Tribolium castaneum: one gene and its partner. The protein of the gene in region 2 purifies or fractionates together with the protein of the main gene of each other region. This does not show direct contact. Links are inferred from orthologs where the notes say so. Each region holds a gene or a part of one and is shown on either strand. Other genes may lie near its edges.

Region 1 (3,756 bases), on a different chromosome or scaffold from region 2:
ATATTCCACATGAGGACGAATGGGACGGTGGTAGCAAAAATTCGCTATACCATGACTACGAACCTGGCAAATACTGTTTAGACAAGGTACAAATTATTAGATTAAACTTGTGCCCAATTTAATGTTTCAGAGAGTCGACGATAAACTTGTGAGTCAATTTGCTCGCGTTTGTGCCCCTGATCATCACACACATTGGACTGAAACGAAATTTTTAATGCGAAATATTGTATCGCCCATAACGCACTTTATTGGAATTGTGTGCCTTCTGATAATAGCCATCATCTACTTCATAATGCCAACTTTACGTGATCTTGTCGGTAACATTGTTACCACAATCAGCATGTGCCTTATTGTCAGCCAAGCCGCTGATTTAATCCGACTCTTGACGGTTTTTGATAGCCATATAAGCCTCATTATTAGCGATACCATTTGTTATTTCAGTCTACTGGGGGCGTTTTTCTGGCTAAATAGTTTGGGTTATTACATTTGGAAAACCTTCAAGTAATATTGATACGAACGGACGTTTCATAAATATGCAAATGTTGACGTCATTGCAGGTCAAGGAACGTTTTTCTGAGAATTACAGATGGGAAAAAATACTGTTATTATTCGATGTATTCATGGTCTTGCACGCTCTTGTTGGGCGTTTTGGCCGTTTTTGCCCATTTTACCATGGACTATCCCGAGGACAAACCGCAGCTTGAGCAAAAGGAAGAAATCGGTAAACATACAATAAAAAAATAAACTTTTTTTTCTACTGGATAATACTTCATGATCGTATAATTTTTAAAGATGCAAGATTATTTTAATTTTTAATTTGTTTGTGTGCGATTTTTTTCACTCTGTTTATAGCACTAAAATTTTGAAAACGTTTATTTCAGGATCCCTGGGGATAATCCTATTTTTCGTCCCCGTTGCCGCCACAATAATAATGGACATATTTTTCTTCGCCACAACATTAAAAATCATAAGCCGAATGCACACATACGGTCGCATCCACCATAAATTAACCCACAGGTAGACAGCAAAAACAATCTGCCAACTAAACTAAACCACTTTTTGCAGCTTTCGCATGTTTTTCTTATTATTGCTAATAATGACAATAACATGGCTGTTTTTCCTGATGTCATTTTTCAAATTCACTGGCCTAGTTAACTGTTACATAATATTGAATGCATTCCAAGGGCCTTTAATTTTATACGTTTGTATTTTCAACCAGAAACACGTCGGATATCTGGTACGCAAAACGTGTTGTTACGAAAATTGCTTTTGCAAGTGTTGTCGCACTGAACCTGAACCAGAATGGGGCGACGAAATGACAGCTATGAATACGGGAATCTATTAGGCAGCTGAACGACATTCCGTCCGTTTTATCCAATTTTGACATTATTTATGTATTTAATTTACATTATTGTGTACTTAATATTTATAATAAAAATGATTAAACGACTCACCTGGCTAAATAAGTGTCCCTCTGGCCGTTTAATGAGAGCTGAGAGTTGGCAACGCACCACCAAGTGACTGTCATCCAAGACAGTATTGAAGAATCTTCTAGTAGGAAGAAGAGCCTCCAAGTCAGTCACTAGTTCAAGAAATCGCTCACAGTAGTGGATTTTGTCAAGTGGACAAATCCCATCTTCTGTGATCGTATCCAGAATATTCAAAAATTTTAAAATGAGTTTGTGCAAAAAAGTCCGCTCCCAATTCAGTCTTTCTAACTCTTCTGGCTTATCTTTTTTCTGAATGGCTTTCCAATACTTTCGCCACTTTGGGTTTTTCTTAAACTCGTATTCACGACGCCCGGGTTGTAAAGACACCCACATTGAGAGCGAAACTAACCGCTTGACTTGATCCCTACAAAGCCCCTCTTCCATGCTATTGAAGCAATGATTGAGAAACACAAGCAGTGAAGTCTGCTCTCTTAAATTGATTAATAATTCGTCTTCTAACAATCCTTTAAGTACTTGTTGGAAAAAATCAGGAAAATGGGTGGGATTTTTCCGAAACGCTTGCCACACTTGCACCCGCTCCCTAAATTTCTCATTCACCATGTTCACAACGGACAACATGTGGGCATACGAAGCCCCCGGTTTGTAGTTGGGCCACAGATAATTCTCCAAGTATTGGCTGAACTCCAACACCATTATTCTACGAATCGAAAAACTGGAAAAAAATTGTCATAACCACACTTTAGCGGTGGATTGGTTTTTTACTTGCTACCGCGGATGTCTTGCAAGTATATGTCGTCCACGATTTGGGAGTCGAAGGGTTGCTGGTTTTGGGCGGAATGCGGGGCCCAGTATTTTTCGGCAAACTTTGGAAAATTGAAAGTAAACAAGGTTTCAGGTTAGGATGGGGTAACTCACTTCAGTGATTCGGTCGGCGTTAATTTGCTCCACGGTGGGAGCCACCACTTTCGTGGTGTTGTCGGCCATTCGGCTGGGGGCACACACCACGCAAAAATGGTTAATTAGTTAAAAACTTTAATTAAACAACGTTTGAAGAACGCTACCTCTACAAATTTCTGGGGATTTTTTACTTAATGTTTGTTGTGTTGGTGCAAGCGTGGCGCGGTTTGAATAAAAATTGAGAATCCAAAAAAAACGGGGAAGAAAATTTGACTGAGACAAAACTCGAATTCTTTGTTGCTGATCAAGAAATACTTGTTCGAAGTAAAGACCATATTAAGATTCGAGCTTTACAAAAATAAAATGCATTGTTTAGAAAGACCAGTTAATACAAATATTAGTTATAATCTAGCAAAACATTGTCAAAATAAAGTCATTTTTGACTTTCACGGGACGTTTTTCGTTCTCTTCAAGAAAAAAAACTTCTAAAATTTGCAAGTTTTTAACTATAAACCTGATGAATTAAATCGCAGAGAAATTCAATAATAAAATTAAGAAAATCAAAGTAAAACTTAAAGTATTTTTTTTAATAAATTTAAAAAACTCGAGAAATTTAGAGAAAATCATAAAAAAATAATTTAGTCATTTCTGGGCGTTTATTATTACTTCTTACCTCATTTTAAAACAAGCAATTATTTGCAAAAGAATTCTAGAAAATAATTACATTAGAAAAAAATAAAAAATTAAACTAAGCTCAATTTTAGTGGCCTTATTGCAACAGATTGTTTAAGAGTGTTTTTGCATTATTTTTATTGAAATAACATAAATCAAAAAACTTCGTATAATTATTCTGTATTTTAACATTTTTAACTAATTATTATGTATTTATTTCTAGGGATTACAAAAATTAGTATTTTACAGTAAATTCTGAATTCTGTGCGCAGTTTCTAAAATCAAGTATATATCTTGCTTAAATGTTAGGAAAAAATTGAGATAAAATATTATATTTTTATTAAATATGATGGTCATTCGAAGTTTAATTCTGTGTCTTCAGGGTTTTGTTAATTGTTAATTAATGGTAGTATTATGGCGTTGCCATAAATGTAAAAAAATAAAACACGTTCTTTGATATACTACTTTGTTTTATTTGGTTTTGATTTTGATAGTCAAATTCAAAAGCAAAAAAAGTCAATAAATTACAACTCGAATAATTTTGGTTTCCGAAATCGAAAATCCATCTCCTTGTCCCATCTCCTTCCACTCTTGCACCTCATCCTCTGATTGATGATTCAGTGTTCGAATTACCCAATCTTCAAGTGCATCAAGTGTTCCATTATCCGCGGCGCGCGTCTGCCTCTGAAACATTTCCTTCAGTCCGTTCGCGTCCGCTGCAGGAAGAAGCTCGCTT
Region 2 (3,728 bases):
CGCAAAGGGTTGGAACTAGACACAGAGTTTAAAGTGGCCACTAACCAAATTATTCCAAAATGTACCTTAAATGTGTTTGAATCCTTGTGACGAATCGGTTTATTCTTCATTGTGGTTGGATTAAATTAAACTAGTCTTGATATTCAACAAAATAAAAACATGCTGCGGTCAAACATAACCTATCAATGATAAACGTAACCTCAATCCTCAAACTTGAAGAACCCAAAGTTGCCAACTCAATAATTTATCGTCAGGTTTATAACTTGCACAATAATACCAATTTTTGTAACCTATTTTGTGAATAAAGCGAGGTGTTTCATTTATTCTTTTCATGTAATCTTTGTGGCAAAGTAAATAAATAAAGACAAATTCTTTTGCACAAGTTTAATTTGGCAATATGGCTGTCGGTAATGTAGCAAACATTAAAAAGGTAATTTAAATATTTTCTTGTTATTTTATTTAAAGTATTTAAATCTTTTTTTGTGCTCTTTTAAAATACGAAAAACTAGTGCCTAAAACATTCCTGGGTAAATAAAAATACAATTTACGTTTAGTAAGTTCTTTATTATTTTCATTACATAAAATCAAAAATTCTTAAATATTTTTTATTGTATTTCTCCACACGCTGCTATTACTACTTTCTCCGTGGGCGTCCCACTCTTGGTCCCACACCTTTCCATCCTTCTCACAACGTCCATCCCACTTATAACATGCCCAAAAACCACGTGTTTTCCATCCAACCAATCCGTTTTTGCCGTGCAAATAAAAAATTGCGACCCATTGGTATTTGGTCCCGAATTGGCCATTGATAAAGTCCCTGGACCCACGTGTTTCAATTCAAAATTTTCATCAACAAATTTCCGACCATAAATTGATTTTCCTCCTGTACCATTGTGGTTGGTAAAATCGCCACCTTGACACATCTAACCGTCATTAAGGAATTTAGCAAGTAATGTTGGCAACTTAATTTCACAGCCGTAGCCCTCTTTAATAAACAGGTCCCAGCGAGCCGAAAAGGCTCCAAAATTTTTTTATTATTAGACATATTGATTTTTCCTTTTTTAGCTTACAGCTGCGTTTCTGCTGCATATTTTGAAAATATTGAGGTAGTCAGGGTTAGGGCTAGGAATTTTTACCGATATATCGATAAAAAGATCGATATATCAATATATATAGACATATCGATAATTATCTAAAACTGTCGATACACCACATGCCGATAACTATCGATAATTTATTATCAATATTCCGACAAATTTCGTTATTATCGTTTAACTTTAGTTAAACGTAAAAAATTAGATCTTCTCAAAAAAAATTATCGTACAAGATTTAATTTTTTGTACAATTGTTAAATAGAGAACTGAAAAATGTAATCAAAACCAAAAACAGTTGAGGATTGCCTACCCAAAAAAGACGGCGATTTAAAATCGACGGGTTAGAACATTTTTTGCAAAAATATTAGCATTAGTACAAAACTTTATGATTTCTGTATAATTTAAACATAAATTTAACAAAAAAAACAAGTATTTCACCATTTCAACTTTTTTAAATTTAACAGTAACATTTATTAGGTACTATCATTTATCTATAAATACCCATGTTTTTATCGCTCTATCGTAAATATCGATACTTCAATATAATATATCGATATTTCGCCAATCTTCGATATGTATCGGTGTATCGATATATCGGTATGTATCGATTATTGATATTTAAATCTTAATATCGCCCACCCCTAGTCCTGGTAACGACAATGCTCATAAATAATGTGTACTGCTGCTGAAATTAATTTTTAAAGTAAAATAGATTTTTAGTTATTAACTTTAGGCATTTGAAACTTTATGTTTTTAGACAATTTAATGACCTTTAAGAAGCAAAAACAAAAAATAGGGTGTTCTATTTAACTTTTCCAGGTTATCCAACTTTTAACAAACTTCTTAATTTTTCTACGTTCCTAATTGCAATGCGTTAAACAGTTGATACAGATTTAAGTTTGAAAAACTGAAAAAAACAAATTATTTCAAAAACTAAACAGAATCGATTACGTCCAAAACTGTAATAAAATTTAAAGTGTTCTATTTGAAAAAAACATAACTAGTTTTTTTTTTTAATATTGGGAAATCTTAAAATATACCGCAATATTTTTAACATCTGTAGCAGAAACACAGTTATAATCCAGAAAAAAAAGAAAAAGTGAATATTTCTTATGATAAACAAGTTATGGGGCTTGTTGACAATATAATTTTTCTTTGGGTAAAAAGGATACAAAGTCTGGAATTATTCTATGGAAAGTGGAGCCCTGAAAACCGTAACCCTTTTCATGGGTGCATAAACACCTAAAATTTTCTGCAGTTCTGGGGACCACATCAGCCCTCAACAGCATTGTTATTCTACCGACTTCAGTCTTGCCAATCTTAATGTCGAAGTAAACTTGAGGGTTTTTGACTTTTTTGCTGTCACTTTTGTCAGCATCCTGGGAAAAAATTGCTCAAAAAAATCAAAAAATCAAGAGAAATTTTTACGTTATCTGTTGCCTCTTTAGTTCCATCATCAGGATCATTAATAGTCTTGCCGATTGTCTCGCCTGCGTGCTGCTGAAGCCAGGTGTCTTCAGACCAAACAGGCCGTGTCGAACCCTCTTTAATTCGCTGTGGTTTGGCTAAATTGACTCTGATGGTTCTACCAAAAAGCTCAGAATCATTCTAAAACTGATATTTAAAAATTGTCCATTATTTAACTTTGGTGTTACCATATTGTCGATTGCTGCAGCCGCGTCTTCCGCACTCTCAAACTCGATGAAAGCGAACCCCCTGTGCTTTTCCGTCTCATAGTCCAGAGGGATCTGAATGTCGACAATGTCACCAAAGGGGATAAAAGCCGCGTTCAGGACTTTATCGTCGACTTCTTCGGCGAGCCCCCCGACGTAAATAGTGCGTTTGGAACCGGTGCTCATTTTTCAAAAAACATTGACACAACCTCACTTTTGTGCGAAACCTTTGACACCCTTAACGCGCCTGCGCAACTATCAAGTGTTTAACCATCATTGGATTTTTACGTAAAAACGTAAATTAATGGCATTTTAATTACTACTTGAGCACTGCCGTCCGTTTCAATTCAAGTAATTAATGTGAAAAATCGATATAAAAGTGTGCGACTTGGGGAATTTCTTTTCCCCCGATTTTGTCAAGTGTCAGATGAGTTTGACAGGGGCAACGAACGATAACTTCTCCCGTTTGTCTCAGCCATGTTGGCCTGTCTGAGGCGAAAATTCGAGTTTTGCGCGAGATCTTGAGTAAAAAAACATTATGCCCAAGTGCGATGTTAAAACTAGATACATACCAGCGACTTTTGCTTGGACTTTACTGTTGGTAGCCACAACGTTGTTCTTCTACTACCCGTGAGTTATTCCTGTCAGTGTTTATGTTACCAAATTTAGGCAAACGTTACGCTTGTTAGAGCCCGATACTACTTAGAGGATTATCCATGGGTGCCCGCGTACCAAGGAGTGATCACGTTCTTCGTCCTCGCCAATTTCACCCTCGCTACGTTCATGGACCCGGGGGTCATACCAAAAGGTGCGTAACAACCCCCTTGTAGCGCTAATTGAGCTGGTTTTTAGCCCCTCCTGATGAAGACCGCGAGGACGATTTCAGGGCCCCCTTGTACAAGAACGTGGAGATCAACGGGATTACGGTGCGGATGAAATGGTGCGTCACGTGCAAGTTCTA

The links. The genes of interacting proteins can lie anywhere in the genome.
Region 1: the proteins of cyp33 (region 2) and RNA helicase aquarius purify together in Homo sapiens (affinity purification with mass spectrometry; 5 studies listed by BioGRID and IntAct, counting the BioPlex papers as one, with this or other methods). This does not show direct contact. The link is inferred for Tribolium castaneum from reciprocal best matches to the Homo sapiens genes PPIE and AQR.

The regions. Positions count from the first base shown.
Region 1 is NC_087396.1:23,735,794-23,739,549, reverse strand, and holds the start of RNA helicase aquarius, read right to left. Parts: upstream 2,565-3,756; 5' UTR 2,436-2,564; coding exon 2,367-2,435; intron 2,315-2,366; coding exon 2,214-2,314; intron 2,164-2,213; coding exon 1,455-2,163; intron 1,454-1,454; exon of another isoform or gene 1,346-1,453; coding exon of another isoform or gene 1,066-1,345; intron 1,018-1,065; coding exon of another isoform or gene 882-1,017; intron 722-881; coding exon of another isoform or gene 558-721; intron 502-557; coding exon of another isoform or gene 131-501; intron 87-130; coding exon of another isoform or gene 1-86. Other genes in the region: mthl5 (probable G-protein coupled receptor Mth-like 5), read left to right, coding at 1-86, 131-501, 558-721, 882-1,017, 1,066-1,345.
Region 2 is NC_087394.1:24,073,767-24,077,494, forward strand, and holds cyp33 (peptidyl-prolyl cis-trans isomerase E), read right to left. Parts: upstream 2,954-3,728; coding exon 2,750-2,953; intron 2,703-2,749; coding exon 2,523-2,702; intron 2,474-2,522; coding exon 2,267-2,473; intron 924-2,266; coding exon 606-923; 3' UTR 544-605; downstream 1-543. Other genes in the region: small subunit processome component 20 homolog, read right to left, coding at 1-15, 66-110; palmitoyltransferase ZDHHC8, read left to right, coding at 3,306-3,397, 3,457-3,575, 3,620-3,728. UniProt on the Homo sapiens protein: Involved in pre-mRNA splicing as component of the spliceosome. Combines RNA-binding and PPIase activities.